Macaca mulatta: one gene and its partners. The protein of the gene in region 1 interacts with the protein of each later gene in a biochemical or structural test. Links are inferred from orthologs where the notes say so. Each region holds a gene or a part of one and is shown on either strand. Other genes may lie near its edges. The genes, in order: MSN, LRRK2, SPN and ICAM3.

The links.
Region 2: of the proteins of MSN (region 1) and LRRK2, one has a biochemical effect on the other in vitro, tested with the Homo sapiens proteins (9 studies listed by IntAct). The link is inferred for Macaca mulatta from reciprocal best matches to the Homo sapiens genes MSN and LRRK2.
Region 3: the proteins of MSN (region 1) and SPN form a complex in vitro, tested with the Homo sapiens proteins (2 studies listed by BioGRID). The link is inferred for Macaca mulatta from reciprocal best matches to the Homo sapiens genes MSN and SPN.
Region 4: the proteins of MSN (region 1) and ICAM3 form a complex in vitro, tested with the Homo sapiens proteins (2 studies listed by BioGRID). The link is inferred for Macaca mulatta from reciprocal best matches to the Homo sapiens genes MSN and ICAM3.

Annotation. Positions count from the first base shown.
Region 1 is NC_133426.1:71,833,551-71,839,470, reverse strand, and holds part of MSN (moesin), read right to left. Parts: intron 5,865-5,920; coding exon 5,781-5,864; intron 5,078-5,780; coding exon 4,931-5,077; intron 3,727-4,930; coding exon 3,630-3,726; intron 1,538-3,629; coding exon 1,374-1,537; intron 14-1,373; coding exon 1-13. UniProt on the Homo sapiens protein: Ezrin-radixin-moesin (ERM) family protein that connects the actin cytoskeleton to the plasma membrane and thereby regulates the structure and function of specific domains of the cell cortex.
Region 2 is NC_133416.1:47,246,578-47,251,647, forward strand, and holds the end of LRRK2 (leucine-rich repeat serine/threonine-protein kinase 2), read left to right. Parts: intron 1-667; coding exon 668-735; intron 736-1,299; coding exon 1,300-1,421; 3' UTR 1,422-2,932; downstream 2,933-5,070. UniProt on the Homo sapiens protein: Serine/threonine-protein kinase which phosphorylates a broad range of proteins involved in multiple processes such as neuronal plasticity, innate immunity, autophagy, and vesicle trafficking.
Region 3 is NC_133425.1:28,909,379-28,915,824, reverse strand, and holds SPN (leukosialin), read left to right. Parts: upstream 1-2,859; 5' UTR 2,860-2,929; intron 2,930-3,307; 5' UTR 3,308-3,335; coding exon 3,336-4,661; 3' UTR 4,662-5,261; downstream 5,262-6,446. UniProt on the Homo sapiens protein: Predominant cell surface sialoprotein of leukocytes which regulates multiple T-cell functions, including T-cell activation, proliferation, differentiation, trafficking and migration.
Region 4 is NC_133424.1:11,061,532-11,068,227, reverse strand, and holds the start of ICAM3 (intercellular adhesion molecule 3), read left to right. Parts: upstream 1-2,984; 5' UTR 2,985-3,045; coding exon 3,046-3,121; exon of another isoform or gene 3,122-3,378; intron 3,379-3,709; exon of another isoform or gene 3,710-4,053; coding exon 4,054-4,320; exon of another isoform or gene 4,321-4,520; intron 4,521-6,696. UniProt on the Homo sapiens protein: ICAM proteins are ligands for the leukocyte adhesion protein LFA-1 (integrin alpha-L/beta-2). ICAM3 is also a ligand for integrin alpha-D/beta-2. In association with integrin alpha-L/beta-2, contributes to apoptotic neutrophil phagocytosis by macrophages.

The DNA of each region.
Region 1 (5,920 bases):
TTCCAGCATAGCACTAGGGAAGGAGATAAAATGGATAGAACAGGATAGTAAAGCTCCATAAAAGCCTGGGGAGGCCAGGCATGGTGGCTCACGCCTATAATCCCAGCACTTTGGGAGGCCGAGGCGGGCAGATCATGAGGTCAGGAAATCGAGACCATCCTGGCAAACACGATGAAACCCTGTCTTTACTAAAAATACAAAAAATTAGCTGGGCGTAGTGGCATGCGGCCGTAGCCCTAGCTATTCGGGAGGCTGAGGCAGGAGAATCGCTTGAACCTGGGAGGCGGAGGTTGCAGTGAGCTGAGATTGCACCACTGCACTCCAGCGTGGACAACAGAACAAGACTCCATTTTCAAAAAAAAAAAAAAAAAAAGCCTGGGGAATTGCAAGGCTTGCTGCCTCTGGGTCTCTCAACCCAACCTTCTCAACACACTCAGGGATTGTGAGTTTGGGCCACCCTCCCTTACCTCTATACCTTTGTCCTCATATCACAGCCCCACATAGGCCAGTGTACACGGGGCCCTGTCAATGTGCCCCTGAGTCAGGAATCCTAGCTCTCCCACCAACCCACTGGGTGACCTTAGCTATGTCACTGCTTTGCTCTTGTTCCCCTATCTTGAAAATGGTCCAATAAGACCTGCCCTATATACCTTGTAGGGAGACAAGTTTTGGCTCTCTGCTGGGATGAAGTGCTTCAAGTCCAGTAATCTCTATGGCTAGTGCATCAGTCCTCAGGTCCAAATCTGTCTGCCCTAAAGCCCAGCTCTAGGCTTCTTTTTCCCAGAGTTTGTTACAAATCTGGAATAGGTATTTGCTTTTTCTTGCCCTAGCACCTCTTCCAGGAACCTTCTTATCTCCCTTGGCTAGGTATTCTCCATCTGAGCCCTCAGAATACTTGGCTTACCCTTCTCCCCACCCCTCTTCTATGTTTTTTTCTCCATAGCAATTCTTAACCATCTTATGTACCACATAATTTGCTTATTTATTATGTTTGTCTCCTCCCCACTAGAATGCTAGCTTCACAAAAGCAGAGATTTTTGGTCTTTTCTTATTCATTGCTCAATAAATATTTATTAAGTGAATGAATGGCATGGCGTTTGTACCTTGAGTTATGTATATATTGTTTTCCCTCTCTCTGCTACTAGACTGAGTAGACTGTGAGGTCCTACAGGGCAGGTTCCTGCTAGATCCAGCTCTGTAAAAACTGCCCCTCAAACTTGGTAAATGTTTTCTGAATAAATGTGAACATTGGTGTCTAACCTCTTATCTATGAAGTCCTAGGTTGGCCTCATGTCCTGACTTAGCAGGCTGGGTACCTTTGAGAAGCTTCCTTGCCCCAGCCCTGGCCCCCCACATCAGTGTGCAGCACCTACCGCTCCATCTGCTTCTGGTGCTTCTCCTCCCGGGCCTGTGCTTTCATCTGCTGCACCTCAATGGTGTCAGGCTTGCGACGGCGCATGTATAGTTCATGGTTCCCCATGCACAAGGCCAAGATACGCTTGTTAATCCGCAGCCGGGGAGCATAGAAGACGAAGTCCTGGTGGGAAATCAGCAATCAGAAAGAATTCGGAGGGCCAGGTGAAGGTGATCTTCTGCCTTCTGAAAAGCTAAATCCAAAAGCACTGAAAAGAATGTTTAATCTAACCTCCTGCACTACAGATGGGAAGACCAATTATCAGAGTGGTAAAGTGACTTACCCAGGGTCAGACAGCAGGCAGACCAAAGACTAGAAACCTAGGTTTCTTGACTCTGAAACCCGTGTTCTTCCCACAATTTCTTTCAATCTTTGCTTATGAAAGCATCCTAAATTACTCTTAATCAAGTTGAAGGATTCAAACTTTCTCTGCTAATTAGGGAACATGCTAGGTCTCAGGTGACCTCTTTTGGAAGCCAAATGACCCCTGACAATACGCTGGTGGGTGCAGTATGGGTGACTGGACTGTTTCTACAATCTCCTGAAAGCAAATCCTAGAGCCAGCCCCTTAAATCCTTTTTGGAACAAGGCAGGCTGTAAATACATATATAAATACATAAATCTCCTGATCACTGCTTGTCCTGGTTGTTGTTTTTAAAATGAGCCCTTGATCTCAGCTGGCTTTGTTACTCAACTTTTTCTGATAAAAGTTGAGCACAGTAGCAATAAAAGAAAACACACAAGAAAATCCAGTGAGTTTGAGTTTGCTACTACAAATACCACTGGACCAAAGTCACCAGCTGACGGGCTAACCGCCATCTCCTCTGCCACTGACCACACACTGCTACTGTCTCATATAGCTTGGGGTGCAGTGGAGGGAGCACAGGCTCTCAAAGTCAAATCACCTAGGTACAAATCCCAGTTCTACCATTTTTAGCTGTGTTATCTTGAACAAATCACTCCATCTCTCTAACCTCAGTTTTGTCAACCATAAAATTAGTATGCTACTTACTACCTACCTGACCATGTTGCTGAGGGTTTAAGGAGACAACGTGTAAAGTCCCTAGCAGGGAAAGTTCAGACACCTCAGGGCTGGAGAAGAATGGTTGAGCCTTCATGAAAAGGGTCAGGCGCAGTATTGTCACTGGGCCTTGTTGAACATGAGGTATCCCAGAAAAGGAGATACTCAGCTCAGTTTCCTACCCTACCACAATCACCAGCTGTCTGGTCTTGTTAGCTGCAGGCTACTGAGTGGGTAAGAAGTGTGGCGAGTGTGTTAGAGAAATGAGTGAAGTTAAAGCACTTTTTTGGTCTTGGAATGCTCTGGAGAAAAGTCTGAGAGGGCAGCAGTCAAGTTCTACCAAGAAGTTTGTAGGATCATCTTGGGATTTGTACTTCTCTGGTCACAGCCATTTCTCCATAATAAAAAAAAGAAATCAAGGGCTGGGCATGGTGACTCACACCTGTAATCCCAGCACTTTGGGAGGCCAAGGCAGGCAAATCACCTGAGGTCAGGAGTTCAAGACCAGCCTGGCCAACATGGCGAAGCCTTGTCTCTACTAAAACTACAAAAATTAGCCGGGCACGGTGCCATGCACCTGTAATCCCAGCTACTCGGGAGGCTGAGGTTGTAGTAAGCCAAGATTGTGCCACTGCACTCCAGCCTGGGCGACAGAGCGAGACTCTGTCAAAAAAGGAAGGAAGGGAAGGGAAGGGGAAGGGAGGGAGAGGAGGGGAGGGGAGGGGAAAAGAAAAGAGAAGAGAAGAGAAGAGAAAAGAAAAAAGAAAAGAAAAGAAAAGAAAGGAATCAAATATGTGAACAGTGTCCACTTTTCGGGACCCCAGGGGCTTGGAAATACGAGATGCATTTGGTTTCCACCCCAGAATCTCAGGGCGGCAGAGACAACGGCTAAGAAGCAGTACTTAACACTGCCTGTGGCTCTCCCTCATCCACAGTGAGGGAGACAGGTAGCAGAGTAGAATCAGGTACAGGATGTCTGCTGGCCATTTTTGGCATCAACATCTCCCTCCATTCCCAATCTCTATCTGTGCTTCCTGTTCGTGCATGTGTGCACACACATGCACGCGCACACACACACGCACACATACACACACACACAAACCAGCAAAGGAAGAGAAAAATAGAATAGCATGATTGCTCATTATAGAAGGCCTTGGCAAGTACCCGTCTTGGTCAGAGGGAGGAATCACTCACCGGGGCTTTTTTGTCAATGGGCTTGATGACAAATTTCTTATCATTGAAAGAGATGTTCCTGATTTCACTCCAGGGGAAGCCTATCTTGGGAGTTAGTCTGTAGAAATGGAAACCAATAATATCAGGACAAGGGCAAGACAAGAAGGGCGTAGAGAACTGGTGGCTTGCCCTCACATCACCCCCAAGCTTCTATGTCTCTCTCTCTCTCTCTCTCTTTTTTTTTTTTTTTAAATAAATAGAGACGAGGTCTCACTATGTTACCCAGTCTGGTCTTGAACTCTTGGGCTCGAGCGATCCTCCCTCCTCAGCCTCCCAAAGTGCTGGGATTACAGGCATGAGCCACCAAGCTTGGCCAAACAAACACTTCTCTCTGGAGGAGGTAGACTCGGTGCCAGCTCAGCCAGTGTCATCACATGCCACCAGGTCAGTTGCCAGCATTGAGTTCACTAAAGGATCTCCTGATACTACAACTAACATATGATTCCTTGTCTCGAGTTTGTTTTGTTATGTTTTTGTTTGAGGCATGGAACTTGTAACAATTCCTCAAGGGAATCCCCAGCCCTATTTAACTGAGTTTCTTCTATCCAAGCTTACAAAAGTTAGAGAAAACGTAAATAATGAACTCCAAGATTCAGCAGTTATATGGAACAATAATCTATTGATCTCCATTCTCACCAAGAGCACACCAAGTGAAAAATATAAGCAAGTGAGATAAGGCTACAGTGAGAGGATTATAGGCCAAAAGCCATTTAATTATCACAGGAGACTAATCAAAATATATCCCGATAAGACAGTCTAGGCCTGCACAAATCAATAAAAACATAATGACTGTCACATATATAATTTTAAGTTTTCTAGTAGCTACATGAAAATAAGTAAAAAGAAATGGATGTAATAAAATTTTAATAAGTTTAATTAGCCCAATATATCTAAAATATTATCATTTGAACATGTAAATAAATATTTTTAAAAATATTAAGACATTTTTGCATTCTGTTTTTCACACTAATCTTCAAAGTCCAGTGTGTAGTTTACACTTACAGCACATCTCAATTCAAAGTAGCCACATTTCAAGTGTTCAATAGCCCCATGTGGCTGGTGGCTACCACAGTTGACAGTGTGAGTCTAGTCAATACAGAATTTAGAGGCCTAAGGAAAGTTGTGAAATCATCTGGGCTGGACTAAATTAGGCAGAAAAAGAACTGAGGTGGGACCCAAGAGCTATGGCCTTGCTCCTTGGTGAAAAGTGAGCCCTAGATGTTAACATAACCTAAATAAACTAAAAGAGATCTGAGATATACCTGTCATTCTGCTCATAGATGTTGAGACCCAGTGCATCCACCCCCAGCCACAGCTCTGAGCCTTTCTTGTTCTTGATGCTGAAGTAGTTCACACCATACATCTCCAGATCTTGAGCAATCTTCAGATATTCCAGGACAGCATCCTCCCTAAATGACACAGTTGGGGGTCACAAAGTGGGGCTTGTGAGTCAGACCCAAGGAGAGAGAAAGCCTGCTTACTCTGTACTTCTGACAAGTATCTTGCTATCAGGAGTGGGAAAGGGCACAAAAGGCAACCAGATGATGGAGAACAGAGCATAGCATGACTTTTGCAAAGCAAAATCTCCTAACAAAAACCTAGGGTCTATGCTCCCAAAGGGAATAAAGATGGGTTGACCCTTGCTGGCCTCTGGCATGTTGGCTGCCACAGAAGCAATTTTCTTTCTCTCATTCATTGTGACAGCCTCTTACACATTCTTAGCAGGGCTCAGAATGTGGTTATGGCAAAATGATGATATTTGTCCTTCAACTAGACAACCCTCAAAAATGCTTTGCCATGTTTAAGAGCTCCTTCCTTATTTCCTTCTGGCAGGGGGCGGGGAGTCCTTGGTGGCCCAGTAGCTCCCTGGACATCCTGAGGTCCCCTCCATTTCTTGATAGTCAAAACTGTTTGTGCTATCAGTTACCACCATTCAGCAAAACAAACAAACAAAAAACAACCTTATAATGGTCCTAGTTTGCCTTCTATCATCCCTGTTCCCTCTTCTCCAACATCTACCAATGTCCCTTGTCATCTGTCTCTTCTCCCCAGAACGCATTCTCATTCACCCTATAAGGGAAGTGGGGCCCACCACTGCTTGGGCAAGCTTACCTGAGCATGCCACGGTGTTCCTCATGCCACACCTGGATCCGCTCCTCCCACTGGTCCTTGTTGAGTTTGTGCTGTTCCAGGACTCTGGAAAGACAATGGGTGATGAGTAGTTTAAAGCGCAAAAGTCCCTGTGCAGGAGA
Region 2 (5,070 bases), on another chromosome or scaffold:
TGTCAAAACCTCTGAGAAGCAAACACTGATTAGGTCAAAGTTCCCACTTTGGGTTCCCATAACAGCTTTCTTGCATAGTTGTGATCATAGTCATATATATTTTTTTTCATTAATACTAGTCTCTTCACTAGAATATAAACACCAAGCAGGTTGGGTTAGTGTGTTTTGGTTTACCCCTTTATTCCCAGGATCTAGCCTAGGACTTACATAGAAGACTTTTGATGCAAATTTGTTGAATAAATTAGTGAATGATTTGAGAAGAAAATATGATATTTTGACATCAGTATATCCATCCATCTAAGTGTCCATCTAAATACTCATATTTGTACCTTACCATATCCAAAGAACTTTTCACACACATTACCTCATTTAACATTGTAACTTTGGGGAGGGTAATGTATAAATACTAAGCCTATTTTATAGAAAGGTTAAGCTGTTTTCTCTCACATAATTAAGAGTTGCAGCAAGGAGTGGATCACAGATTCTGTTACTTTTTTTTAATGCTGGCCTTTATTCAATATAATTTAAGGGTCACCTAGAAAATAGAACTGTGAATTCAGTTCCAAGGTATTTGTGTCTTAGACTATGAACAACTTTAATTTTTTTCAGACCAGCTTAATATATAGTTTTAACGGAAAACTTCCATATTTTGTTTTTGTAAAGGGAGCCTTAAAAATGTCATGCTGGTATTGGGCTATAACCGGAAAAGTACTGAAGGTACACAACAGCAGAAAGGTAACATTTAAAAGGATACTGTATTCCAAACAGTGCAATGACATGAATGATAGTAACATATTATGTGTTTTATAAATTTGTAGAAAATATTACATATGGTATAATCAGGAATTTTAATTGGTAGTTTATAGTATAAAGAACTTAGGCATAAACTTTCAAAATTACAAGTGATATGAAGTGTTAAATATTTATATTTTCAGATGAAGTAGAGGTGTCAATCACTAGCTCAACCTTAAACTAAATGTGAATATTTTTTACAACTTACCTGTATCTACATAATGTTTAATTTTCAACAGTGTTTGAAAAGCTTTATTTCTTTTAGATTATGAAATGTTAATTTATTAAATGTCCACACTCTTCTTGAAATTTAGTAGTTTCTATAATGTATTATAAAAATTGTCCAAGTACAGTTTTTTATAAATAATTATTTAGTGCATTAGTTATAGCTGTGTTTATATATACATTTATCTAAGTCAACTAAAAATACATAAGCCAAACTGAAATAAAATAAGAATGTTTTATGGTGGATCTTTGAAACTTGATTTCATCTTTTTCTTTTTCTAGAGATACAATCTTGCTTGACTGTTTGGGACATCAATCTTCCACATGAAGTGCAAAATTTAGAAAAACACATTGAAGTGAGAAAAGAATTAGCTGAAAAAATGAGAGGAACATCTATTGAATAAGAGAGAAACAGGAATTGTCTTTGGATAGGAAAATTATTCTCTTGTAAATATTTATTTAAAAATGTTCACATGAAAAGGGTACTCACATTTTTTGAAATAGCTCATGTGTATATGAAGGAATGTTATATTTTTAATTTAAATATATGTAAAAATACTTACCAGTAAACATATATTTTAAAGAACTATTTAAAACACAATGTTGTATTTCTTATGAATACCAGTTACTTTTGTGCATTAATTAATGAAAATAAATCTGTGAAATACCTAATTTAAGTACTCATACTAAAATTTATAAGGCCGATAATTTTTTGTTTTCTTGTCTGTAATGAAGATAAACTTTATTTTAAATTCTATGCTTAAGACAAGACTATTGCTTGTTGATTTTTCTAGAAATCTGCAAGGTAGAATGAAAATATTAAGACAGTTTCCCGTGTAATGTATTCCCTCTTAGATTGCTTTGAAATGCACTATCATATATGCTTGCAAATATTCAAATGAATTTGCACTAATAAATTCCTTTGTTGGTATGTGAATTCTCTTTGTTGCTGTTGCAGACAGTGCATGTTACACAACTTCACTCAATCCAAAAGAAAACTCCATTAAAAGTACTAATGAAAAAACATGACATACTGTCAAAGTCCTCATATCTAGGATATGAGGAGAGTTTCTGTGTCTTTCTGTGTCTTTCCTAGACATGATAGAGTTGTCTCTATCTTTTCAACTCTATCTTTGAGTATGGATACCCTGAATTTTGTATAATTAGTGTAAATACAGTGTTCAGTCCTTCAAGTGATATTTTTATTTTTTTATTCATACCATTAGCTACTTGTTTTCTAATCTGCTTCATCCTAATGCTTATATTCATCTTTTCCCTAAATTTGTGATGCTGCAGATCCTACATCATTCAGATAGAAACTTTTTTTTTTCAGAATTATAGAATTCCACAGCTCCTACCAAGACCATGAGGACAAATATCTAACACTTTTCAGTTGCTGAAGGAGAAAAGAGCTTTAGTTATGATGGATAAAAATATCTGCCACCCTAGGCTTCCAAATTATACTTAAATTGTTTACATAGCTTACCACAGTAGGAGTATCAGGGCCAAATACCTATGTAATAATTTGAGGTCATTTCTGCTTTAGGAAAAGTACTTTTGGTAAATTCTTTGGCCCTGACCAGTATTCATTATTTCAGACAATTCCCTGTGATAGGACAACTAGTCTATTTAATATTCTCAGAACTTATGGCATTTGACTATATGAAAACTTTAAATTTATTTATATTCAGGGTGATCAAATTCTTAAACATGAAAGATTTTCTGTATTTTAACTTGCTACGTAATTAACGACAACAAAAAAAAATACAGTAGAGCTCTTTGTTCCAGTGTTATCTCTTTCATTGTCACTTTGTATGTATTTGCAAATTTTTTTACCAAAGACAAACACAAAAATAGAATACTGTATTTACATGGAATAATAAAATTTTTAAAAGCATGTTTATGAATTTTTAAACTTTGTGATAGTGTTTTGCTTTTCACATACAGGTCTGTTATCCACCTCAAAGGAAACTTTGTATATTAATTTGTATATGGAACATTCCACGATAAGAAAGTGCAACTAAAGTTTTTTCTTGAGAACTTACAGAATATTTAAATTTACTTTTCTATAATACGTATGGTTGCCAGGATCCCAGGACAAAATCTGATGGGTATGAAACATTCTATTTTCAAGTTCTCTTAAAAATGTTTTGTGAGTAAATTTGTTTGCTCTTGAGTACTGAAACAAAATATAAGACTTTAGAGCAAATGATATATACAAAAAATAGGCACAGTCACTTCAAGTGTTTTCTGATTAGAAGCCTAAAATAACCTGCTAATTATGATCAAAATACAAACATTATCATAACAGAAAATATTCTTTTGGGAAAATTTTGAATTCAAAAAAGGGCGCCTCTCTGACTCTAATTCACTCTATCGATTATGTGTGAACTATTTTAACTAAAATGCAACTTATTTTTCATCAAGGCAGTGAAATATATTGATGAAACATAGCAGAATTAACAAAAGAAGATTGTGAACTTTCCTAAGTTAAATGTAAGGATGCAAATGTTCTAATATTGAGGGGAGATAAAATTCAAAACCGTTGGGACTTTGCTGCTTTATCCATCACTTTGAGTAGCTTAACACCTAACCTGGTAAATTGAATGTTTTTCATGGAGGCTCATCAGCAATTCAGTAAAATAGTAAACTATGTCAACTCGGGAGAAACTGACATCCTCGTTCTCCATGCTAGCCAGTTGCTGATCCAGGGTATCATTGTTTCTAATAACAATTCAGAATCTGGCTGCTTAAAGGCACCTAGGTACTTGGTTCTTTCTAATTTGTCAAGGAATTTGGAGTGATCCTATCACCCTGATTTCAAGCAAGAGACAGTCACCTGACCCAAAGGCCTGCTGTCTGAACACACTCTGAGTGAGTGAGCAGAGATGTGGTGGTTCTCTCTATGTGCTGCCGCCACACTGCTCTTGATTTCTACCCTTACCTGGGAAGTCTCTACTTGATGTCTGTCTCAGGCTAAGAAAAAGAGAAGAGAAAGGGAATGAGTATTAGCATCTGGATCATGGGGCTGCTTCTTGGCCTCTATGAGAATCCACTGTTTCACAGCAATCAGGGCCTACAAAACTGGATGTTATAGAGTAAACAAGAGGTATCATTCTGACCTGGGCTTCGCCACATTTACCCACTGAACACTCCCAAGAGAAGGTTGTTACCATTTATTTATGAAAATACCAAACTCCGATACATACTCTATTGGAAGTATTTATGGAAAAATAGAGCATATGTCTACCTGGCCAGAGAATAGAGGATCCTGATCACAAAAAAAGTACAAATATTTAAACAGAGACTTAGGACAAATGGGCATTCAACAATTTCCAGAGTGAAATAACATTCTAGGCAGATGATGACACATGTGCTGTCTTTGGAACTTGAGCTTATTTTGAAAGCATCCCTATCAAATACATGCTGAAATTTGTGACAAGTTCCCATTCCTTACAGTACTTACGGGATACACTTAAGTGACTGAAGATGCAAGAGAAGTATATATTTGTGTATGGATATAGCACTTTTATCATTAATTGGGAGATTATAAAGTTAATGAGCTGCTCTTTGCAGAGGGAGTATTTGTTAGGATGAAATGGGGAGAGATGTTTCAAACACCAAGTTTATCTTATAGGTTAAGAAATCCTAGAAGGAATCCATGACTTTATGTATATGTACAATATATGACAAGAGATTTCCCTATCTCCTTGCAAAATAAGCACAAATTAACGAACTCAAAGCTTGTGCTATTATGATAAAAGTTTAAAAGGTTAGTACATAGCAGAAATGTGATATACTATAATGGGGGTCCAGGGGATAAAATATTTGCAAACTGATTCTCCCATGTTGACACTGTTTTGATTTCCTACTATGTTATGTAACACAAATGAGATCGTACGTTAGAGTAATAAGGCAACCACTGATAGAAGCTGCATGCAGGCAAAAGAGTGTTCTCTGATCATAAGCTTAGTTTAGTTGGATCCTTGCTGCAATCACTAAATTAATAAATCTGTGCTAGTATTGAATCAGGAAATCTCTGCCACAAGCAGA
Region 3 (6,446 bases), on another chromosome or scaffold:
GCAGGTTATACATTTTTTACTGGGAATACTACAGAAGCCAGGCACAATGGCTCATGCCTGTAATCCCAGGACTTCTGGAGGCCAAGATGAGAGGATTGCTTGAGCCCAGGAGTTCAAGACCAGTCTGGGCAACACAGCAAGAAGCCATCTCTAAAAAAAAAAAAAGAGAGAATACCAGCATGAGCCACCACACACGGCCTGTTTTAAACTTTTTTATTATGGGGAATGTGAAAAGTGCAAAACACTAAAATGGATGAATACATGCTTGTGTAGACACAGACACTGTTAGGAATGTTTGTCTGGAGGTGATGGGTGTGGAGTCTTTTTGTGTGATATATTGGGTATATCAAGAATGCCAGGTCCTGAGCACTTTTTTTTTTTTTGGTTTGTTTTTTGAGATGGAGTCTCACTCTGTTGCTCAGGCTGGAGTGCAGTGGCATAGTCTCTGCTCACTGCAACCTCTGCCTCCTGGGTTGAAACGATTCTCCTGCCTCAGCCTCCCGAGTAGCCGGGATTATAGGTGCCCGCCACCATGCCCAGCTAATTTTTGTATTTTTAGTAGAGACGGGGTTTCACCATGTTGACCAAGCCGGTCTCGAACTCCTGACCTCAGGTGATCCACCTGCCTCAGCCTCCCAAAGTGCTGGGCTTACAGGCATGGGCCACCGTGCCCAGTCGTTTATATGTATTAACTCTTAATCATCAGAACAAACTATGTGGTATTACCATAATTATCCCCATTTTATACAAAGCAACAGAGGGATAAGGAGGTTAAGTCCTTTGCCCAAGTGTAAGAGGTAGGACAGGAACCCAGAGTCCTGTGCTGGTAACCGCTTTTCTGTGCACTTGACATTATCTCATTTAATCCTTGCAGTCACTTGATGAAGAAGGTGGTGGTCCTAGGGCATTGGAGAAGTTGTGTGACTTGTTCAAGGTCATGCAGCTGGAAGATGGTGGTGGTAGGACAGGAAGTCCGTTGGGCCTGATGATGCAGCCCTCTAACCTACCCTCCTTTGCTCCTGCGTCCCTCATCCCCTCTGCAGAATGGGCACCCCGTTACCATTCCGAGCCACTGTGTGCAGAAAAGACAGCATGTTGGCCAGGCTGGTCTCGAACTCCTGACCTCAAGTGATCAGCCTGCCTCAGCCTCCCAAAGTCCTGGGATTACAGGCGTGAGCCACCTCACCTAGCCTCTGAACACTTTGGACTCAAGCCATTTCCCAGTGCTGTGTTTGCAGTGAGCACCCCTGAGGGATGAAGACGTGTCTCCCTGTGGGACACTGGGCTTACCAGGGGCCCTAGAGGAGGGGAATCTCTCAAGCTCAGAGCTCTGTGGCTGCGATATAGGCCCACTATGTGCGCGGTGTCAGTTTGGGTCCTTCCATGTTGCCTCTGTGGGACTTGGGGTAAGGGGAACTGACGCAAACATCACGCTGCTGTTGCTTGGTGTGAGCAATTAATTCCTGCGGCTCTCACCCTGGAGTCTCATGTCTTTGGGTCAGACAAACTCATCAGCTTGTGGAAAGGGCACAGTCCCAAGGACCTGTTAGAATCTTCTATTGTGCACATGTTGCTCTTAAAATATACAAATCAGTTTTGATTTTAAAAACTTATGCATTTTATTTTTAGTGACAGGGTTTCTGCTGTGGTGCCCAGGCTGGTTTCAAACTCCTGGGCTTAGGGGATCCTTCCGCCTCGGTGGGACTACAGGCATAATGTATCACCACGCCCGGGACTGATTTTCGTTTTTAAAGAACAAAAACCAAAGACATACACAAACCAAGAGTCAAAGCTTGCTAATTAGAGGAAAGTCAGGAAATGGGAACCATTCAAAGAAGAAAATGCCTCGGCCTCCTACTCTCACCTATCCAAAGACAATTAGGTGAATCCCTTAGTGGATATCTTTCCAGACACTTTTCCATATAGAGTCCCACATCTGGCCGGGCGCGGTGGCTCACGCCTGTAATCCCAGCGCTTTGGGAGGCTGAGGTGGGTGGATCACCTGAGGTCAGGAGTTCCAGACCAGCCTGACCAACATGGAGAAACCCCGTCTCTACTAAAAATACAAAATTAGCTGGGCACAGTGGCGCATGCCTGTAATCCCAGCTACTCGGGAGGCTGAGGCAGGAGAATTGCTTGAACCTGGGAGGCAGAGGTTGCGGTGAGCCAAGATCATGCCATTGCACTAAACTCCACTTCAAAATAAATAAATAAATAAAATAAAATAAAATAAAAAATAAAAAGATTCCCATATCTTTACTAGTTTGCTGAAATAAGATCCGAGCATATGCAGTGTGTAGGAACCACCTTGGTTTAGCCAAGCCTCCCTGACTAGGGGCCACTGGGGTGACCCCCAGCTCCCCGTGAGGGAGTCAAGAGCTCACCAGCTTGCAAAGGTTTTCACGGCCCCCAGCCAGACTCGGGGGCTTCCTCTTGCCCTGCTACTTCCTGGGAGCTCTGAGAGCAGGAAATGGCACCACTCAGCTCCTGGCCTAACAGCTTGGGGACCACAAATGCAAAGGAAACCACCCTCCCCTCCCACCTCCTCCTCTACACCCTTGAGTTCTCAGGCTCATATTCCCACCACCCACCTCTGAGTCCAGCCATCCCTAGCATCACCCCTTCCATCCCATTCCTCAGCCAAGAGCCAGTAATCCAGATTCCAGATCCCGCACTTCCCTGCCTGCCTCAGGTGAGCCCCAGACCCCCAGACACCCCACTGGCCCCTGAAGGAGCAGGTCATGGTGCTGTCTTCGCCCAGCAGCTGTGGGAGCAGGGCGGGTGGGGCAGGATGGAGGGGTGGGTGGGGTGGGTGGAGCCAGGGCCCACTTCCTTTCCCCTTGGGGCCCTGTCCTCCCCAGTCTTGCCCCAGCCTCGGGAGGTGGTGGAGTGACCTGGCCCCAGCGCTGCGTCCTTATCAGCTGAGCCGGTAAGAGGGTGAGACTTGGTGGGGTAGGGGCCTCAGTGGGCCTGGAAATGTGCCTGTGGCTTGAAAAGACTCTGACAGGTGATGATGGGAAGAGATTTGGAGCCACTGGGCTGCACAGGGTCAGGGAAGGCCAGGAGAGGGTGGCCACTGCTGGAATCTGAGCTGCCGAGGCTGGAGGGAGCCTTGGGATGGGGCTGATGGGGGAGCTGCCAGCATCTGTTCCTCTGTCATTTCTGATAACAGTAAAAGCCAGGATGGAAAAAACCGTTAAACCGCAGGTTGGGCCTGGCCGTTGGTAGGGAAGTGGGCAGAGGGGAGGCCCGGCCAGATCCTCCGGCAACTCCCGCGTGTTCTGCTTCTCCGGCTGCCCACCTGCAGGTCCCAGCTCCTGCCTGTTTGCCTGGAAATGGCCGTGCTTCTCCTCCTCCTTGGGGTGCTTGTGGTAAGTCCAGAGGCTCTGGGGGACACGACAGCTGTGCAGACACCCGTGCCCGGAGAGACTTCTGGTCCTTTGGTCTCTACTAGCAAATACCTGAGCATCGACTCAGAGATGTACACCGCTTCAATAACAAGTGACCCTAAGGCCGACGGCACTGGGGACCAGACCTCAGCCCTACCTCCCTCAACTTCTGTCAATGAGGGATCCCCTCTTGGGACTTCCCTTGGTGCCAGCACTGGTTCCCCCTTACCTGAGCCAACAACCTTACAGAATGTTTCCTTCGAGATGTCATCAATGCCCCAGGAAAACCCTCATGCAACCAGTCATCCTGCTGTTCCCATAACAGCAAACTCTCTAGGATCCCACACCATGACAGGTGGAACCATGACAACGAACTCTCCAGAAACCTCCAGTAGGACCAGTGGAGCCCCTGTTACCGTGGCAGCTAGCTCTCAGGAGACCTCCAAAGGCACCTCTGGACCCCCTCTTACCATGGCAACTATCTCTCTGGAGACCTCCAATGGCACCTCTGGACCCCCTGTTACCATAGCAGCTGGCTCTCTGGAGACCTCCACTGGGACCACTGGACCCCCTGTTACCATAGCAGCTGGCTCTCTGGAGACCTCCACTGGGACCACTGGACCCCCTGTTACCATGACAACTGGCTCTCTGGAGCCCTCCAATGTGAACACTGGACCCTCTGTTACCATGACAACTGGCTCTCTGGAGCCCTCCAGTGGGGCCAGTGGACCCCAGGTCTCTAGTGTAAAACTATCCACGATGATGACTCCAACGACCTCCACCAATGCAAGCACTGTGCCCTTTCGGAACCCAGATGAGAACTCAGGAGGCATGCTGCCAGTGGCCGTGCTTGTGGCCCTGCTGGTGGTCATAGTCCTCGTGGCTCTGCTCCTGCTGTGGCGCCGGCGGCAGAAACGGCGGACAGGGGCCCTGGTGTTGAGCAGAGGCGGCAAGCGTAACGGGGTGGTGGACGCCTGGGCTGGGCCAGCCCAGGTCCCTGAGGAGGGGGCCGTGACAGTGACCGTGGGAGGGTCCGGGGGCGACAAGGGCTCTGGGGTCCCTGACGGGGAGGGGTCTGGCCGGCGGCCCACGCTCACCACTTTCTTTGGCAGACGGAAGTCTCGCCAGGGCTCCCTGGCAATGGAGGAGCTGAAGTCTGGGTCAGGCTCCAACCTCAAAGGGGAGGAGGAGCCGCTGGTGGCCAGCGAGGATGGGGCTCTGGATGCCCCCGCTCCTGATGAGCCTGAAGCGGGAGACAGGGCTGCCCCTTAAGTGCTGGCGAATAGTAAGGCTGGAGGCCGGAATCTCAGCCAGCCTCCAGCACCTTCCCTCTCACCATCACACTGCCCCCTCACTCCCACATTTCCACCTGGCATCCTGATCCTCACCTGAATCTCTCTCTCTCTCTCTTTTTTTTTTTTTTTTTTTTGAGGCAGAGTTTCACTTTGTTGCCCAGGCTGGAGTGCCATGGCATGATCTCAGCTCACTGCAACATCTGCCTCCTAAGTTCAAGAGATTCTCCTGCCTCAGCCTCCCGAGTAACTGAGATTACAGGCGCCCACCACCACGCCCAGCTGCTTTTTTGTATTTTTGGTAGAGACGGGGTTTCACCATGTTGGCCAGGATGGTCTCAAACTCCTGACCTCAGGTGATCCACCTGCCTCGGCCTCCCAAAGTGCTGGGATTACAGACGTGAGCCACCGTGCCTTACCTCCTCACCCGCCTCTTCACTCTGAATCCTCATCAGGCCTCTCAGCCCTGGATTTCCTGCTGGCATCCTCACCCAGCACCTGCAACCAGCACCTGGGCAGGGCAAGGCCGGCACCTCTCAACGTCTGTGGACTGAATTAATAAACCCTCTTCATCCACCCCTATTTATCTCCATCAGGATTTCCCCCTCTTTCTTGTTCTTGGAAACGGCTGCTGAGTCTCCATCAGCCAAATTTATCTGACCTGTGATTTCTTTGAGAATTCTCCTTTTCCCCCACACCCCACTCTGGGTTGACCAGAGTCTGGGAAGAAGAAGGACAAGAGAACATGGCAAACTCCCTCCTAGGATTAACTTTGTAAAGCACCCTTGCCCCGTAGCTGCAAGGGCTGTGGAACCTGGGCAGCCCGCAACCACCTTTAGCTCTGGGTCCCCCAGGCCAGCCAGGAGCATGGCTGGGTGGGGCCACTGGCCCATGCTCTCAGGCAGGCCTGTGATCTTTCCCAGGGCACCTGGACTCGAGGCTGGCCCTGGCCCATGCCACCACACTCTCCCCACCCAGGGACAGAGGCAGCCAGAGGCTTCGCGGTTTCTCCTCTGAGTTTCTGTCTGGGTGTGTAGTTCTCAGAAACCCCAGTGCCTGCGTGCGTCCACTCATGGGTGTGGTTTGTGTGCAAGAGCTGAGGATTTGGCGATGCTTGGGAGGGGTAGTGGCGGGTACAGACAGTGTGGGAGTGGGAAGTGGTGCAGAGACTGAAACGGGTCAACCTGAGCATGGGGGCACAAGGACTGCTGAGAACATGTGTGTCATCTTTGCTCTGATGGGGTAGACAAAGCAGAAAATCTAACTCTGTCTATAGCCCCATACAGCACGCCAGGGTGACCACAGTGGCTGGTGCTTTTAATCCCAGCACTTTGGAAAGCTGAGTCAGGAGGATCGCTTGAGCCCAGGAGTTCGAGTCTGAAGTGAGCTGTGATTGCACCACTGCACTCCAGCCTGGGCAACAGAGCGAGACCCTGTCTCAAAAAAGAAAACAAAAAGGAAGCCAGGCTTCCTAGAAAGATTGTATGTGTGACCCAAATGTGAGTTCTTCAGCTCAACCACGGTAATCCCTTCCTTGAACTCTCCCTTTCTACAGTACACATGCAGGTGCTCACTCTCTCTCTCTCTGTCACACACACACACACACCCCCACACACCTACACACATACACGTGCACGCGCGAACAGAGGCAGGGGGCGAGGGGTCTGCCCTGGTCGTGGGGACTGGCCTTGCTGGCGCTTCCCCCCTGCACATTTTCAGGTTTAGTTTGTCTATCTCTCCTCTTCCATCCCAGGGGCTGAGCCCC
Region 4 (6,696 bases), on another chromosome or scaffold:
TGAGCAGAGATCCGGCCACTGCACTCCAGCCTGGGCGGCAGAGCGAGACTCCATCTCAAAAAAAAAAAAAAAAAAAAAAAAAAAGAAACCCTGTCTCTACTAAAAATACAAAAAATTAGCTGGGTGTGGTGGTGCGTGCCTATAATCCCAGCTACTCAGGAAGCTGAGGTGGGATAATCACTTGAACCTGGGAGGCAGAGGTTGCAGTGAGCCCCAGACTGTGCCACTGCACTCCAGCCTGGGTGACAGAGTCAGACCCTGTCTCAAAAAAAAAAAAAACAAAAAAAAAAACAGCTGGAGTTTAATTTATACACTGTTTGCAATCCAGACTGTATTTGCTTTCTTGTCAACGGCTTGAGATATGTGCAGGAGCTCCTTAAACATGTGTAGGTGACCTTTCTCTGCCGCCCAGACTGGAGTGCAGGGGCACAATCTCAGCTAACTGCAACCTCCACTTCCCCGACTCAAGCAATCCTCCTGCTGCAGCCTCCTGAGTAGCTGGGACTACAGGTGTGTGCCATCAAGCTTGGCTGATTTTTTGTATTTTTAGTAGAGACAGGGTTTTGGCATGCTGCCCAGGCTGGTCTGGAACTCCCGACCTCAAGGGATCCACCCATCTTGACCTCCCAAAGTGCTAGGATTACAGGTGTGAGACACCACTCCTGGCCCAGAAATACTTCATCATCAGAAATATTACTGGAGGGTGTAGAAGGGTACACTGATAATCCCAGCACTTTGGGAGGTCAAGGCAGGCAGATCCCCTAAGCTTAGGAGTTCAAGACCAACCTGGGCAATATGATGAAAGCCGTCTCTACAAAAAATTAGCCAGGCATGGTGGTGTGCACCTGTGGTCCCAGATCCTAGGGAGGCTGAGGTGGGAGGATCGCTTGAACTCAGGAGGCTGAGATTACAGTTAGCTGAGATTGCGCCCCTGCACTCCAGCCTGGGTGACACAGTGAGACTCTGTTTCAAAAAACAAAAAAGAAATATTACTTATTTACAAATATTTCTTTCTTTTTTATTTTTAGAAACGGGGTCTCACTATTACATAATTATTATAAATCATATCTATAATATATAATATATATTTTATATATATATATATATATATATATATATATATATATATGTATGTATGTATTTTTGAGACGGAGTCTTGCTCTGTCACCCAGGCTGTAGTGCAGCGGCACAATCTCCGCTCACTACAACCTCTGCCTCCCGGGTTCAAGTGATTCTTCTGCTTCAGCCTCCCGAGTTGCTGGGACTACAGGCGCCCGCCACAACGTCCAGCTAATTTTTTATATTTTTGGTGGAAACGGGGTTTCACTGTGTTAGCCAGGACGGTCTCGATTTCCTGACCTCTTGATCTGCCCACCTCAGCCTCCCAAAGTTCTGCTGGGATTACAGACTTGAGCCACTAAGTCTGGCATCTTTTTTATTTTATTTTATTATTATTTTTTTTGGAAACAGGGTCTCACTGTGTCGCCTAGGCTGGAGTGCAGGGGCACAATCTCAGCTCACTGCAGCTTTGATCTCCCAGGCTCAAGCGATCCTCTCCTCAGCCTTCCAAGGAGCTGGGACTACAGGCACCAGGTCCATGCTACTGGGCCCTGCTATTTACAAATACACTAGACTTGGGTTTTAGCTGCTCTCTCAACACTAGGTGGGAAATGAATTGTTCGGAAGGCAGAGGAATAGAGGAGGGACCTGATTAGGAAGGTGGGGGTGCTCCAGATGAGAGAGGAGGTGCTGTGACCTCAAGCTCTGGGAAAAGTGGGTGAACGCAGGGCTCCATCAAGGCCCTCAACAAGGTCCCTCTCTGGTGCTCAGATGTTAGGCCCAGAAGACAGGTCAGAGGCCTGAGGTCAGCAGCAGGTCAAAGGTGGGAGTCCCCCCTGGTCCCCTTGGTGCCTTCCCTTGGAATGAAGTGACCAGCTGCCTGGAAAGGTGGGCAAGGGGGCAACAGGATGAGGTAAAGGCCAGTTACAAGTAGAATCCTGGAAGGTTGGGCGAGGTGGCTTATGCCTGTAATCCCAGCACTTTGGGAGGCCAAGGCAGGCGACTCACTTGAGGTCAGAAGTTTGAGACCAGCTTGGCCAACATGGTGAAACCCCATCTCTTACCAAAAAGTACAAAAATTAGCCGGGCATGATGGCACATGCCTGTAATCCCAGCTACTCGGGAGGCTGAGGCAGGAGAATTGTTTGAACCAGGGAGGCAGAGGCTGCAGTGAGCCGAGATCCCACTACTGCACTCCAGCCTGGGCAACAGAGTGAGACCCTGTCTCAAAACAAAACAAAAGCCAAATCGAATCCTGGAAAGACAGTGGCTCAGGGACTCAGCTGTCCCCAAATCACCTACCTTAGCTCTTCGTGCATGGGAGGGGGGATCCCCAAAATCTTCAAAGATAGGGAGATGTCCTCAAGATCTTCAAAGGTGGCCAGGCGTTGTGGCTCACGCCTGTAACCGCAACACTTTGGGAGGTCAGGATGGGAGGAGGCCATCTCAAGGCCAGGAGCTCAAGACCAGTCGGGGCAACATAGCAAGACTCTGCTTCTGGTTTTTTTGTTTGTTTGTTTGTTTGTTTTATGTTTCCTTGAAATCCCACCTTAGCATCTAAACAGTGGTGCCTACAGGTTTCCCCCATTAACTTCCTCTCTGGGAACAGAATATTCCCCTCCCCACCTAAGTTCAGCCGGAAGGAGATGCCTCATACCCCCACACCCAGGCTTCCCAGTGCTGAGAACAAAGGAAGCCAGTTCAGTTAGCATTTCCTGGCTAGGAACTGGGGGCCAGCAGTGCAACTGAGACCAGCCCTGTCCCTGGGGGAGACTCAGCAGTGCTGGCCACTTTGCAGAGCCCCGTCTGGGTCCCCCATTCTAGCCCCCCAGGGCCACAGCATCCCCTTCTCCCCACAGGCCTGGGTAAGGTGCAGTCCCCAGACTTCTGCAATCTTAACCGCTATGCTTCCGTCTCAGTGGGAGGCCCCGCCTTTCCCCCTGCCTGCCCTTGGGGCACCTCAGGAAGGCACCTTCTTCTGTCAGAATGGCCACCATAGTACCATCCGTATCGTGGCCCGGGGCCTGCTGGACTCTGCTGGTCTGCTGTCTGCTGACCCCAGGTGAGGCTGGTCAAGCCCAGGAGGGCTGGAGAGGGCTGGGTTTTGGGGCTCAGTAGAAGGTGGAGGAAGAGAATGCAACACTCTTTGCATCCTGCCACACTGCGACCTGGCTGCTGACCCCGTATCCTCGGGAGAAAGTTCTGGTTCCTTAGTTCTGCCTTCAGGTGGTCAGGCCCCAGCATACGGCTTCTACGCCATCCCTCTTCCCCAACACACACACACACACACACACACACCCCTCACGCTTCCTGCTCCATCTGAACTCCTGAAATTTTTTTTTTTTTTTTTTTTTTTTTTTTTTTTTTTGAGACGGAGTCTCGCTCTGTCGCCCAGGCTGGAGTGCAGTGGCCGGATCTCAGCTCACTGCAAGCTCCGCCTCCCGGGTTCACGCCATTCTCCTGCCTCAGCCTCCCGAGTAGCTGGGACTACAGGCGCCCGCCACCTCGCCCGGCTAGTTTTTTTTTGTATTTTAGTAGAGACGGGGTTTCACTGTGTTAGCCAGGATGGTCTCGATCTCCTGACCTCATGATCCGCCCGTCTCGGCCTCCCAAAGTGCTGGGATTACAGGCTTGAGCCACCGCGCCCGGCCTGAACTCCTGAAATTTGCCCTTTGCGTATGTGGTTCCCTCTGCCAGGATCACCTGTCCCTTTCACTTGCTAACTCTTACTTAGCTTTCAGTTTCAGGCTGGCATGGTCTCCTCCTCCAGGAAGCCTTCCCTGACTCACCTCCTCCTATGCTGGATCAGAGCCTCTTCTGGCCTCCTTCTGAGTTCTCCCTGGTCCCTGATGGATTCTGCCTTTCCCACTGGACCATGAGGGTGGGAACCCTTCTATCTCGGCACAAGGAAAGAGGTGTTAAATGGTGGGGCCTGCTGATACGCGGGTTGGGGGGCAACAAAACAAACACCAGGATTTCTTCATGTTCCTGAAGGTGCCCAGGGGCAGGAGTTCCTGCTGCGGGTGGAGCCCCAGAACCCTGTGTTTCCTGCTGGAGGGTCCCTGTTGGTGAACTGCAGTACTGATTGCCCCAGCTCTAAGAAAATCATCTTGGAGACGTCCCTATCAAAGGAGCTGGTGGACAATGGCACAGGCTGGGCAGCCTTCCAGCTCAGCAACGTGACTGGCAACAGTCGGATCCTCTGTTCAGGGTACTGCAATGGCTCCCAGATAACAGGCTTCTCTGACATCACCGTGTACAGTGAGTCGATGTGTCCGGAGGTGGGACTGGTGTTGGGTAGTGGTGTGGGCAGATGGCCGATGGCTCAGGAGAATGGAGACCCTCAGTTTGCAAAGAATGGACCAGGATTCTGACCCAGAGCTCAGACCTGGACATTTGTGTGTGTGAGATACAAAGACATAGAGACACATCTCAATCTCATGCCAAGGCAGCAGTTGTGAAATCAATTAACTTGGGCCCCAACCAACATTTTTTTTTTTTTTTTTTTTTTGAGACAGAGTTTCGCTCTTTTTGCCCAGGCTGGAGTGCAGTGGCGCAATCTCGGCTCACTGCAACCTTCGCCTCCTGGGTTCAAGTGATTCTCCTGCCTCGGCCTCCCGAGTGGCTGGGATTACACATGCACGCCACCACACCCGGGTAATTTTGTATTTTTAGTAGAGATGGCATTTCTTTTTCTTTTTTTTTTGAGACGGAGTCTGGCTCTGTCCAGCCCAGGCTGGAGTGCAGTGGCCGGATCTCAGCTCACTGCAAGCTCCGCCTCCCGGGCTTATGCCATTCTCCTGCCTCAGCCTCCCGAGTAGCTGGGACTACAGGCGCCCGCCACCTCGCCCGGCTAGTTTTTTTGTATTTTTTTTAGTAGAGACGGGGTTTCAACGTGTTAGCCAGGATGGTCTCGATCTCCTGACCTCGTGATCCGCCCATCTTGGCCTCCCAAAGTGCGGGGATTACAGGCTTGAGCCACTGCGCCCGCCTGAGATGGCATTTCATCATGTTGGCCAGTCTGGTCTTGAACTCCTCACCTCAGGTAATCCGCCTGCTTTGGTCTCCCGAAGTGCTGGGATTACAGGCATGAGCCACTGCACCCTGCCCCAACAAGTTTTTTTTTTTTTTTTTGAGATGAAGTCTGTTGCTCTGTAGCCCAGACTGGAGTGCAGCGGTGCCATCTTGGCTCACCACGACCTCTGCCTCCCAGGTCCCAGTTCAAGCATTCTCCTGCCTCAGCCTCCCAAGTAGCTGGGATTATAGGCATGCGCCAGCATGCCCAGCTAATTTTTGTATTTTTTGTAGAGATGGGGTTTCACCATGTTAGCCAGGCTGGTCTTTAACTCCTGACCTTGTGATCTGTCCACCTTGGCCTCTCGAAATGCTGGGATTACAGGTGTGAGCCACCTTGCCTGACCCCAACAATAATTTCAACACTTTGGGAGGCCAAGGCAGGAAGATTGCTTGAGCCCAGAAATTTAAGACCAGGCTGAGCAACATAGGGACACCTTGTCTCTACAAAAATAAATAAAAAATATTAGCTGGGGCCGGGCGTGGTGGCTCACACCTGTAATCCCAGCACTTTGGGAGGCCGAGGTGGGCGGACCACGAGGTCAGAAGATCGAGACCATCCTGGCAAACACCGTGAAACCCCATCTCTATTGAAAATACAAAAAAAGTAGCCGGGTGTGGTGGTGGGCACCTGTAGTCCCAGCTTCTAGGGAGGCTGAGGCAGGAAAATGGCATTAACCCGGGAGGCGATGGAGCTTGCAGTGAGTGGAGATTGCGCCACTGCACTCCAGCCTGGGCGACAGAGTGAGACTCCGTCTCAAAAAAAAAAAAAAAAAAAATTAGCTGGGCATGGTGGTACATGCCCGAAGTCTCAGCTACTTGGGGGGCCGAGGTGGGAGAGTTGCTTGAGCCCAGGAGTTCAAGGCTATAGTGAGCTATAATTGCACCACTGCACTCCAGCCTGCGCGAAAAAGTAAGACCCTGTCTCTTAAGCAAAAAAAAGGGGGTACCCCTTTCAGTCAGCAGTAGGTGAATAGAGGTTTTATATTTACACTTTTTTATACTTTTATTTTAGAGACAGGCTCTCCCTATATTGCCCAGGTTGGTCTCAAACTCCTGGGCTCATGCAATCCTCTTCAGCTCTCCAGTAGCTGGGATTGCAGGCCTGAGCCACTGTACCTGGCTACTTTTTTTTTTTCTTTTTCTTTTTTTTTTTTTGAGACGGAGTCTTGCTCTGTCCCCTAGGCTGGAGTGCAGTGGTGCAATCGTGGCTCACTGCAACCTCTGCCTCCCGGGTTCAAGCGATTCTCCTGCCTCAGCCTCCTGAGTAGCTGCGATTATAGGCACATGCCAACATGCCCGGCTCATTTTTGTATTTTTAGTAGAGACAAGGTTTCAACATGTTGGTCAAGCTGGTCTCGAACTTCTGACCTCATGATCCACCTGCCTCGACCTCCCAAAGTGCTGGGATTACAGGCGTGAGCCACCATGCCTGGCCTTTTCTTCTTCTTCTTTTTTTTTTTTTTTTGGAGATGGAGTCTCACTCTGTTGCCCAGGCTGGAGTGCAGTGGCACGATCTCAGCTCACTGCAACCTCCACCTCCCAAGTTCAAGAGATTTTCCT